Arabidopsis thaliana: one gene and its partners. The protein of the gene in region 2 interacts with the protein of the main gene of each other region in a pairwise test. Each region holds a gene or a part of one and is shown on either strand. Other genes may lie near its edges.

Region 1 (3,445 bases), on a different chromosome or scaffold from region 2:
GAAGACAAATTAGTACAAATTACTTTTTCTTACCTGTTGCAATGTTTGCAGGGACACATTCATTAATTGGAAATACCTAATTAACGTTAGACTTCACTTATTCGATTGAACCAACATTTTTTCTTTTTAAAAATCCATTTTCAATAATAAAATGACACGTGTCGATCTTACATCTCAACTGCGATGTTTGACATGGGTCCACATGCGCACAGAGCACGCACTCTTTGCATTGCAATTGCACGTGAGATGTCCGTACTATGACGGTCCATCTTACATAATTTTCCTATTCAATTAATTAAGCTATATATATATGTGTGTTTTACAAAATTTAGTATATAATATTATTGTAAGTTATAGAGCTGTAGATGAGTACGTATTATTCTTATTTCAATCTTTTTATGAGATTTATAGATATCAAAGTTTTGCCGAAATGTTTGATTAATTACGAGCTCGAGGATGAACAAAAAAATTTGGTAAAGAGTTTCTCACAAACCATTTCAGTTAAAGCACCAAAACCAAATGATTAAGTAGTCATGGTCCACATGTAATATGTTACACACAATAAAATTATTTTATAAATTGACACGAATTTACGTCTTGGATTCTACAATCCAATGTTATGTAACTATACGTACCACAACACGTCGGTCACATGAAGTTCAATGAGTTAAAGTTTTTGACACCCTTAATGTTTAGATAATGTATATATGTTCTTCTTTTTGTTGTCAAATAGTAGTTTTTTACCGTACTGTAATTTACTCGTTTAAAGTTTATTGTTTTTTCTTTTTGTCTTTTCTTTTCGATATGTAACTTGATATTTTATAGTGGACTCCAAAACGTTATAGAAATATTGTAAAGATAATAATAGTTCTAATTTTGATGCTTCATACGGCGATAAATTCAACGGCTGGTTAGTTGATAGTTTTCTAAACTATTAATTTATTATCCTAAATATATATATTATTTTTTTGGACAGCGAAATTGATTGAATTATTGACAAAAAGATATATGTATAAGAAATTAAATAACGAAAATACCACCTCTACCCTCATTCATGATTTGTCTCATGCTCCAGGTGTCCGTTGCTCAACGGTTAATTCTGGTACTTTGGGCGGTGATTTTGATGTATTAAAAAGAAGTCGAGAACCAACGACAAAAGTTTCAATTATTCTTATTATTATTATCTTTAAGATTCTTTAGCAGTAAAAGTTAGCATTAATACAAAACTATTATTATCAGTGTTACTGTAATATTGTTGAAAGCCATCATTTGACCAAAATTAATTAAACGCGTTGTTTTCATCAGAGAATAAAATTTGAAGATTTTAAAAATCAAAACTTTTCACAAAATAGGATACCCAATACCGAAGATTCTTTCCTTTTCCATATTAAAAATGTCTAAAAATAGTTATTGGTTAATTATACAGAATCATTAATTTACAATTAAACCCATACACATAAATATATAAATAAAATATTGCAAAACAGCTGTAACTTGACTGTTTCGGAAAATCCCACTTCACATGCTTCATCTCTCAACACCTTCTTTCTGATATTCACTTTATACTCTCTTTATTTTCTTATTAAATCTAGTATGCTCTAAACCCTTTTTGCTAACTCTATAAAATCCCCTCACAAATCCTTAATTCACCTCTTCCCCTTCGCTCTCGAATCAATCACTCTCTCTTCTTTAGCGTTTTTATTTTGTCTTCCTCGTTTTCTTCTACCTTTTTATATTTTCTCTCTTTTCAGTTTTCTCTAGAAAAAAACACTAGTAATCAGTTTGCGTTTGATAAATATTTGATGTGGCAAAACTCTTGTGGATCTTGATGTTCAAACATTCATGTCTCCGGTGATTAGTGAAATCCTTAGATCTGGTTTAACTATAGACTCGTCTCTTAGACGCAGGACCCATCTTGTTCAATCTTTCTCCGTCGTCTTTCTCTACTGGTTCTATGTTTTCTCATAAATCAGCTCTCCTTTAGCCCTTTATTATTATATATTCTATAACCATAATAATATATTAAAACTATATACTATAATCTTTTTACATAATAAACTTTGGGTCCTGCGTCTTAATCATAGTACTTAATTTTCTCTGTGTGTTTTAATATGAATAATAAAACTGAAATGGGATCTTCCACAAGTGGAAATTGCTCGTCGGTTTCAACCACTGGTTTAGCTAACTCCGGTTCAGAATCTGATCTCCGGCAACGTGATCTAATCGACGAGCGGAAGAGAAAGAGGAAACAGTCGAACAGAGAATCTGCGAGGAGGTCGAGGATGAGGAAGCAGAAGCATTTGGATGATCTCACTGCTCAGGTGACTCATCTACGTAAAGAAAACGCTCAGATCGTCGCCGGAATCGCCGTCACGACGCAGCACTACGTCACTATCGAGGCGGAGAACGACATTCTCAGAGCTCAGGTTCTTGAACTTAACCACCGTCTCCAATCTCTTAACGAGATCGTTGATTTCGTCGAATCTTCTTCTTCAGGATTCGGTATGGAGACCGGTCAGGGATTATTCGACGGTGGATTATTCGACGGCGTGATGAATCCTATGAATCTAGGGTTTTATAATCAACCAATCATGGCTTCTGCTTCTACTGCTGGTGATGTTTTCAACTGTTAGAAAACTTCACATCATTATCATCGTGAGTGAGACTAATCATCGCAGCAGGGGTAAAACTGTAATTTTTCTTATAAATTATGTGATGATGCTTTGTTTCTTTATTTTATAAGATGGTTAATTAGTGTTTAAAACTGATTGTAATGATAGACAGTGTAAGAAATGTGTGATATCATGGAGATGGTGATGTGAGTTTGGTACAAATATTTTAAGATCTTTTCTTTCTATATATTAAAAGTGAAGAAATAATATTTTGTCATTTTCTTAGAGTTTTCTGTTTCCTTATTTGGGAGTTATTGTTGCTCTTATTAGAAAGATGAAATTTTGGCTATTAGTGAAATAAATGAAAATAATGTGAAAGCTCGTGGACGGTTTTTGTAGATGGCGGTGGTCCATTTAAAATACTATATAGAAATGGTGTGTTGTGATTATTGTGTTAGAGACTATATTTTCCCGATGTGATAAAATAATTATGCATTTTGGTACTTACATCAAAATGAGTTGTTATCATGGGTCACTCGAGTTTTTTTCTTTTTTAAGAATTTTATACCATCTCCATCGAAGTATCTGATTGAGATACTCATCAAATAAATAATAATTAAAAAGAAAAAAAACAAGAGAGAAAGAAAGAAAAGTGGCGAACCGTTTCTGGCAAAAGAGACGATTCTTAGCATTTATTGAGAGTTGTCATTCAACTAATGGTTTATTTACTTTAAACTAATTAAAATATATTAATTTAATTAAAATACTAATTTATTTATTTTTTGAGATATTCTCTACCACTTTTGTCGATGAAGATGCTCTTACGTACGAGG
Region 2 (4,673 bases):
GTATAGAGGTGTTCTTGAGGATAAATCAATGGTGGCTATAAAGAATCTGCTCAACAACAGAGGACAAGCTGAGAAAGAATTTAAAGTCGAAGTCGAAGCTATTGGACGCGTAAGACACAAGAATCTGGTGAGATTGCTTGGTTATTGCGTTGAAGGAGCTCATAGGATGTTAGTTTACGAGTATGTTGATAATGGGAATTTAGAACAATGGATTCATGGTGGTGGTTTGGGGTTTAAGAGTCCTCTTACTTGGGAGATTAGGATGAACATTGTTCTTGGAACAGCCAAAGGGTTAATGTATTTACACGAAGGTCTTGAGCCTAAAGTTGTTCACCGAGATATTAAATCGAGTAATATCTTGCTTGACAAGCAATGGAACTCGAAAGTTTCTGACTTTGGGTTAGCTAAGCTCTTGGGTTCGGAGATGAGCTATGTGACTACTCGTGTGATGGGTACGTTTGGGTATGTGGCTCCTGAATACGCGAGTACCGGAATGTTGAATGAGAGGAGCGATGTTTATAGCTTCGGTGTTCTTGTTATGGAGATTATTTCAGGGAGAAGTCCTGTGGATTATAGCCGGGCTCCGGGAGAAGTGAATCTTGTGGAATGGTTGAAGAGATTGGTGACGAATCGAGATGCGGAAGGAGTTTTGGATCCGAGGATGGTTGATAAACCGTCGTTAAGGTCATTGAAGCGTACCCTTTTGGTAGCTTTAAGATGTGTTGATCCTAATGCTCAAAAGAGGCCAAAAATGGGTCATATCATTCATATGCTTGAAGCTGAGGACTTGGTCTCTAAAGATGATCGGAGAAACTCTGGAGGAGGAGGAGGAGGAATAGAACAGGGAAGGTCACCGCGGAGGAAGACAAATGTGAATGAATCAGAGGATGAGAGTGGTAATTCTGTTCTGATCAACAATGACCAATTAGCTTTGGAGAATAAGCAGAACTAGTAAAAAAGAAAGAAGCTTTGGCATTATAATTTTGTATTACTATTTTTAGAAGTTTTTTCTTGTGTGTGTATATTTATGTGTGTAGATTCTTAGCCCTTTCACAAAAAAAAAAAAAATGTGTGTAGATTCTTGTAATTTTGCAATAATTAAAACTGGGGATTGCTTGAAAAATATATATATGGTTTGTTTTTTTGTATTCTTTTGGTTCGTTCTCTATTGTAATATAGCCTACATAGTGGTGATTTGTGGTATTGGTGACACTATGTTAAGGTCAAAAAGAAATAGAGAGTAAATTCCATATATATGAAAATTGAAAATGACTGTTTAAATTTACATATGGCGCGAAAAAATGATCTAGTTCGTTAATTATTTTTAGAAGCTTTTTGTGGTAAATTTAGATTTTTAAAAAACTCCATATATTTTTTTTTTATAATTTAGGCTTGTCTATTGTAAATTTGTAATATAGCTTAGTGATTTATTTGTTTAGCTTCTGGTGACATTTTATAAATTTTTAATGACCAGTATAATATAGTATTTTTTTATAAATTAAAATATAATCTAATGTTTTATGTCAACTTCGTTGTTCATTGAATAAATCAAACTTTGAAGAATAATTAAATAACAATGTTTGCAAAAACTGTTACGTTTTTTCATGTAAACATTAGTGGACGTTATACAATAGATATTTAAATTATAAAAACTATTCAAAGAATATTGTAAAGAAATAAAACAGAAATGTGTAAGAAAAAATGTTTATTTTATTGTACGTAATAAAAAAAGAGAATATACTTGTGTGGGTGGACCTAAATGCAAATAGGCAAAGTACCGACAAAAAAAGAAGAATCAGAAAGTGAAAAAGAGAGCGAGCGATGAACAGTATCTTCTCCATTGACGATTTCTCCGATCCTTTCTGGGAAACTCCTCCGATTCCTCTCAATCCCGACTCTTCTAAGCCTGTTACGGCGGATGAAGTTAGCCAGAGTCAACCGGAATGGACTTTCGAGATGTTTCTCGAAGAGATTTCTTCGTCGGCGGTGAGCTCTGAGCCACTTGGTAACAACAACAACGCGATCGTCGGTGTTTCTTCGGCGCAATCTCTTCCTTCTGTTTCCGGACAGAATGATTTCGAGGATGATAGTCGATTTCGTGATCGCGATTCGGGAAATTTGGATTGTGCTGCTCCCATGACGACGAAGACGGTGATTGTTGATTCCGATGATTATCGTCGTGTTCTTAAGAACAAGCTTGAGACTGAGTGCGCTACTGTTGTTTCTCTTCGGGTGTGTTGTTAATCTTCTATTTTTCTTATCTATATGTGTAATTTGTGCGTTTTGATCTAAATCTGAAGCTCTGATGTTCTCTTCTTAGGTTGGGTCTGTGAAGCCTGAAGATTCGACTAGTTCTCCAGAAACTCAACTTCAACCAGTTCAATCCAGTCCTCTTACTCAAGGTAAGAGTCTCTTCTTAGTTTCACCAGGATAGATGAGCGATGATAAACCTGCAGATTCGTTTCTCTGTTCTGTGTTTGTTAATTTAGATGCCTAGGTTAAGGAATTAGAAATAGAAAATGGTACTTTTGTTGGATCAAGCGCCTAGTTTTATCCGTCAAGTTTCAATCTTTTTGTGACTGACTTTCTCATTGAAATTAAACTGCTTTCTGGAAGAACAATAAGCTTGGGATTGAGATGAGTTCTGGTGGTTAGTTCAATATATGGGAAATCATTATTTCAGCGCTCGTCTTTCTCTTTCAGATATCTCTTCTGAGTCTTAGACATAGTAAGTTTTAATCGTGGTAGGTTCTTTGATGACCCCAGGAGAACTTGGTGTTACTTCTTCCTTACCAGCTGAGGTGAAAAAAACTGGTGTATCAATGAAGCAGGTTACTAGTGGATCGTCGAGAGAATATTCTGATGACGAGGACCTTGATGAAGAGAATGAAACCACCGGTTCCTTGAAGCCAGAGGACGTTAAAAAATCTAGAAGGTAATCATTACTTTTTCTCCAATTTCTTGTCGTTTGAAGATTACATTTATAGAGCCTTGTTCTTCCTTTTAATATTTGTAGGATGCTGTCAAATCGTGAGTCAGCTAGGCGATCTAGAAGGAGAAAGCAGGAGCAAACAAGTGACCTCGAAACACAGGTTTTGTGTTGTATCCTCTCAACACCTCATTTTTGTGTTGAAGGATATTAATGAGACCTAATTTGTATTTTGATAGGTTAATGATCTAAAAGGTGAGCATTCATCACTTCTTAAACAACTGAGCAACATGAATCACAAGTATGACGAGGCTGCTGTTGGCAATAGAATACTAAAGGCTGACATTGAGACATTAAGAGCTAAGGTAAGAAGACTTAAGTATTATCCTCCTCTCCTTTTTCTGAACTACCCTTTTTTTGTATACAGTTTTAGTAACTCCCATGTTATGTTAAGGTGAAAATGGCGGAAGAAACCGTGAAGAGAGTAACAGGAATGAATCCGATGCTTCTCGGAAGATCAAGTGGACATAACAACAACAACAGAATGCCAATAACTGGTAACAACAGGATGGATTCTTCTAGCATTATTCCAGCTTATCAACCACACTCAAACCTAAACCATATGTCAAACCAAAACATCGGGATCCCAACCATTCTACCTCCAAGACTCGGAAACAATTTCGCTGCTCCTCCATCCCAAACCAGCTCTCCCTTGCAGAGAATTAGAAATGGGCAAAATCACCATGTTACTCCAAGCGCCAACCCGTATGGCTGGAATACCGAACCTCAGAACGATTCAGCATGGTAAGCTAAAACATGGCTCTTTCTTTTAAGACCATTGAACAATTTAAAACCATTTGAAGTACTATGATCCCTGTTTATACATATCAGATTCCTGTCTCCCCTTTTTTTGCTCATTTTACAGGCCGAAAAAATGCGTGGACTGATCAAACAAGAAGCGGGTTTCGCACTATATTAATGTCTATGCATCTGTAATTTGTAAGTGTTATTAAGTTACGAATCATGAGAAAACATCTTGTGAAAATACAGTCTCATGGCTTATATATATATATAAGCTCTGTCTTATAACATTACAAGATTCTTATTTGAGAATCGTCTTTCTATTTATAGCTAATAACAGAGTGTATATCTGTTTTTATCCAATTTTAAAAAAGATAGCTCACATGGCTTTACTAATTTCCCCTATCATTAAATTCCGACAACCTCGGCGATTTCCATGGTAGATCGATCAAGCATTCACATTTTCTCGTCAGAAAACACAAAAAAAAAAAACAGAGGAGAAAAAGAGACGACGACAAACAAGTGAAAGAAAAAAGTCGTCGTTCTTCCAATTTTTTTCTCCTCTCTCTTCCTCTGTTTAACGGCGTACGTAAGTCAAAATGGGTTCAAGTAAGCTAAAACGTGCCATAGGAGCCGTGAAAGATCAAACAAGCGTAGGATTAGCCAAAGTCGGTGGTCGAAGCAGTTCTTTAACGGAACTCGAAATAGCTGTCGTGAAAGCGACGCGACATGATGACTATCCAGCGGAGGACAAGTACATTAGAGAGATTTTATGCCTAACTTCTTACTCACGCAATTACGTAAGCGCTTGTGTGGCAACTCTCTCGCGACGGCTCAACAAGACCAAGAACTGGTCGGTTGCTCTCAAAACCTTGATTTTGATCCAACGGTTGCTAACAGATGGAGATAGAGCCTACGAGCAAGAGATCTTCTTCGCGACGAG
Region 3 (3,899 bases), about 15 Mb from region 2:
AATACAAGAGGCTATGATTTCACCTATAAGTCTAGCACACAAAAAAAATCTCCAAAATTCACAAGAAATAAGTTTAAAATATTTTACAAGAATCTGCACAGTTTCATTTCTTATTCTGAGAGATCTTCAGACATAAAAGGATTTTATGTAAGATGTTATATGTTGTTTATCTTTTTCCAGATCAAAAAGAAAATAAGGTTTCTTCTTATTACAACATTAACCTACCAACCCTCAATTCATCTAGATTCTTAAAAGTTTTGAATTTCGTAAGTCTTCTTCTTAAGAATAGATCCAAATCTATAAACTGAATCTAATATCATCCACACTCGTTCATGACTAAAAACACCTTAATCAACATTAACACCTTTTTAAAATTTTACTTTGGCGAGTTGAAGATTACCCAAAATTACAAGCTATTTTATCATTGATATTTCATCTGCCTACTATAATGTTTGATTGGCGTGAAACATGATTCTGTAGAGCGTACGTTACATGCGAAACTCTTACTACGATACATTTTATTACTTTACTATTAATGCTCAAGAAATTATATAAAAATGGGATTAGTACTTAAGAATAAAAAGAAAGTAATAAGCATATTACAATATTAAGAAAACACTTTGTACTCATGCGGCAACAGAGCCTTTATTACAGACACACTCATAACGATGATGCTTAGAGATACCTAACGCCTAAAACGGACCCAAACAAACAAAAATTTGAAATGGAAACAAATCAAACAACAGACCCATTTTTATATATAAATCTCTCTCTTTGGACATGTCTCTAAATCGGACAAATAAAAACGGCCCCATTTCTTTGTGATTTCGAGGGGGTTTTTAGGTCCACATTTAATACATTAAAGCATCAGAAGACGCCATGAGAGGCTGGTTCATAATATAAGACATGTTCATCTGATTCACGAAGAAATCATCACACTCCAAACCAACCAGAGGGTTCGAACACATGCCCATGTTGTTGTTGTTGTTGTTGTTGCTACTGTCGAGGAACTCGATGATGTCGTTGAGAGATTGGAGCCTGTGGTTAAGTTCATCAAGCTGAGCTCTGAGAACAGAGTTCTCTGCTTCAACGGTTAGGTAGTGTTGCGTTGTGATGCTGACACTTGTCACGATCTCCGTGTTCTCTTTTTTCAGATGATTAACCTGAGCCGTTAGATCGTCTAGGAGCTTTTGTTTCTTCATTCTTGATCTCCTTGCAGATTCACGGTTTGAGAGCATCCGTTTACGTTTCCTCTGCTCCATGAGACTCTCCTCCGATCCTGACGACGTTTGAATCGTCGACGAAGTTGTTCCCGACGACGACGATTCCATTTAGTAACACACAAACAAAAACAGGGAAGAGTTTTTTTTAAGAGAAGAGAGATAAAATATTTTAAAATGGGTTTTTAGGGGAATTAAAAACAGAACAGAACAAGACACAACAGAACAGGACAGGACCCAGATGACGAAAAACGAAGAAGAGAAATTTGAAAAGAAACTAGGGTTTTGTTGTAATTATGCGTATAGATATAAAACTGGAGATAAGTTCAGAGATCATGAGACATAGTAAAGCCAGTAAAGGAAGACAACAGAGAAAGATTGAACAAGATGGGTCCTGCGCCTGATTGTGGAATTTAACATAAACCCAGAGAGAAAGATCTCACTGAGTATTATTGGAGACATGTGTCTCAAACACCAAGAACTGCTGATTAAGCATCAATGTTTTTTTCTATTTCTTTTTTTTTGGTAGCTAGCCTACTCTTACAGAAGCTGAGATCTCTAAGAAATGAATCTTTGAAGAAATCAGAAGAAGAAGAAGGAATTAAAGGCGATATCTTCGAGAGAGAGAGAAAAGGGAGAGAAGGAGAGAAGAGGGGGCTTTGAAATGGTTGAGGAGAAAGATTTTATAGAAGAAAAATCATCAAAAAGCGTTTTGAGTGTTTGTGCAACTTGATGGTAAGCGATACATTTGTTTGGATTCTATTAGGGGAAGAAGATTCTTTTCTTTATTTTTACATTTTTTTCCTAACTTTTTTTTGGTAACATTTTTTCCCTAACCTTTAAAAAGTTTTCTAGAGTGTCTACATTAATCAAAGCAATATTTTAAACAATTAATTTTTCTTAATGAAATATTTCAAAATTAATTCAAAGATAAGTAAGAGAAAGTGTTTTTTCTTCTTTTGAATGGTATTGATCAAAAATTATATGTATTTAGTTGGTAAATTATTTACTCATCATTATGTCAAGATAAAAAAAATATTTATATTGTTTAATGAAAAGCCTAATCATATACTGTATTAAATTTAGATACTATGAATCTTGCATTTATCATAATTAAAAATAGAAAAATTCATCAAATAATTTTAAATAGAAAATTTAGATTTAAATTTATGCTTAAAATAACTCTTGAGATTATACATTCATCAAGTCTTGTTTTTTCCATAAATTTTGTTGCAGTTATACCTAAACATCCATTTAGATTTTTTTTTGCATTTAATAACAAGTAATTGAAAATATAGCTTTATTGAAGTTCTTAGAAACCTAATACCAAATAAATTTCCCTTTCAAATTTTATAAACTGTCGTGGTAGATAAAGATATTTCAAAGACAGAAAATTAAAGCTCACACAAAAACAGACCAGCTTAAAAATTGACCTGCCTAAATTTTTTTTTTTTTTCTTTTGGTTTTGTTTAGTACTGTGATTTCTTAGGAGGAAAGAAATTGAAAAAAAAAACAAAGTACAGTTTCTTTTACAAAGATTGCAGATAAAACTATTCTTTGTTTTAGAGGAAAACAAAACTTTTTCTTTGTTTTCTTCTTTTTATTATCACAAAAAGTAAAAAGTTAAGCTCAGAGGAAAAAAGAAGCGAGAACTTTATTAAATCTTCTTCAGTAAAACAGTAAGACCATCTCCATCGGTGAGAAACCCATTTTTATAAAATAATATAAATTTTATTATTATTTTATTATTTATTTTTTTAATTATTATTTGAACCAATCAAAACAAAACAAAAGCAAAAATGAGTTTCTCAAGTGAGAAACGTTTTTACTTTCTCTCCACATTTTTTGAATTTTTTGTTCTGTTTTAATAGACCAGAATCCAGAAACTCGCGATGGAAATGCTCTAAGTCTATATTTGTCGGGAGAAAAAAAACACACAGCAAATCTATTTTCACGTAACGACAAAAGAGAAAGAAAAATTAATGATATATTTGTAATGCGAATTATTATTAAAAAAAAAAGCAAAAAGAAAAACATGAAAGCCAGAATTTGTCTGCAGAAATCTATGAAACTAATTAAAAATCAATTACCACCAACACTAAATAAAATAGTTAATTTGTGAATAATCAAATGAAAAAAAACCTGAAATAAAAATAAAAAGAGATTAAGAAATACAAAAGAATCTGTGCTTAGAGTAAAATGAGAAGAACATGTGTAAGTAGGCCGAAGAAGAAGAAAAGGTGAGAGGGACATGTGAGGTTGGGATACGAACTCTCCAGACTCAATACAGCTGTTTTCATTTCCTAATCTTATTCTCCAATTTGTGAAAGATTTATACGTATTAATCTGGGTTAATTATTCAGATGCTGATAATATGTAAGGATTATAATAATTAGTTAAGTACTTGTAGAGTAGTAATTTAATACTACATTCTTAATGTATTCCACCGTCTTACCACAGATGGTGTTTTAGTTATAAAAATTGTTTTACAAAATTTAAATTACGATTAAATAATTTAACTTTTTTCGTTTTTTATTTATTTTCAGTTTCTCTTTATTAGTTTGGGAAAGTGTGGAAGAGATCCACTGATCCAGCCCACTTCCCAAAAACGATGCATGAATTTCACCAAACATATTCACTCAACATACTTTTTAGTCTATTTATAAATAAATCAAAACA

Evidence for each region. The genes of interacting proteins can lie anywhere in the genome.
Region 1: the proteins of BZO2H1 (region 2) and bZIP44 interact in binary tests that used the Arabidopsis thaliana proteins (3 or more experiments, as listed by UniProt).
Region 3: the proteins of BZO2H1 (region 2) and GBF6 interact in binary tests that used the Arabidopsis thaliana proteins (3 or more experiments, as listed by UniProt).

Annotation. Positions count from the first base shown.
Region 1 is NC_003070.9:28,290,113-28,293,557, forward strand, and holds bZIP44 (basic leucine-zipper 44), read left to right. Parts: upstream 1-1,585; 5' UTR 1,586-2,111; coding exon 2,112-2,633; 3' UTR 2,634-2,896; downstream 2,897-3,445. UniProt on the Arabidopsis thaliana protein: Transcription factor that binds to the DNA G-box motif 5'-CACGTG-3' of MAN7 promoter. Involved in the positive regulation of seed germination through MAN7 gene activation.
Region 2 is NC_003075.7:1,152,210-1,156,882, forward strand, and holds BZO2H1 (bZIP transcription factor family protein), read left to right. Parts: upstream 1-1,744; 5' UTR 1,745-1,821; coding exon 1,822-2,232; intron 2,233-2,320; coding exon 2,321-2,402; intron 2,403-2,748; coding exon 2,749-2,935; intron 2,936-3,016; coding exon 3,017-3,092; intron 3,093-3,168; coding exon 3,169-3,294; intron 3,295-3,383; coding exon 3,384-3,733; coding exon of another isoform or gene 3,734-3,737; exon of another isoform or gene 3,738-3,854; coding exon 3,855-3,876; 3' UTR 3,877-4,147; downstream 4,148-4,673. Other genes in the region: AT4G02630 (Protein kinase superfamily protein), read left to right, coding at 1-952; AT4G02650 (ENTH/ANTH/VHS superfamily protein), read left to right, coding at 4,330-4,673. UniProt on the Arabidopsis thaliana protein: Transcription factor that binds to the C-box-like motif (5'-TGCTGACGTCA-3') and G-box-like motif (5'-CCACGTGGCC-3'), ABRE elements, of gene promoters. Binds to the 5'-ACGT-3' motif of seed storage protein (SSP) encoding gene promoters (e.g.
Region 3 is NC_003075.7:16,519,881-16,523,779, reverse strand, and holds GBF6 (G-box binding factor 6), read right to left. Parts: upstream 1,920-3,899; 5' UTR 1,332-1,919; coding exon 852-1,331; 3' UTR 550-851; downstream 1-549. UniProt on the Arabidopsis thaliana protein: Transcription factor that binds to the DNA sequence 5'-ACTCAT-3' in target gene promoters. Promotes POX1/PRODH1 expression in response to hypoosmolarity stress.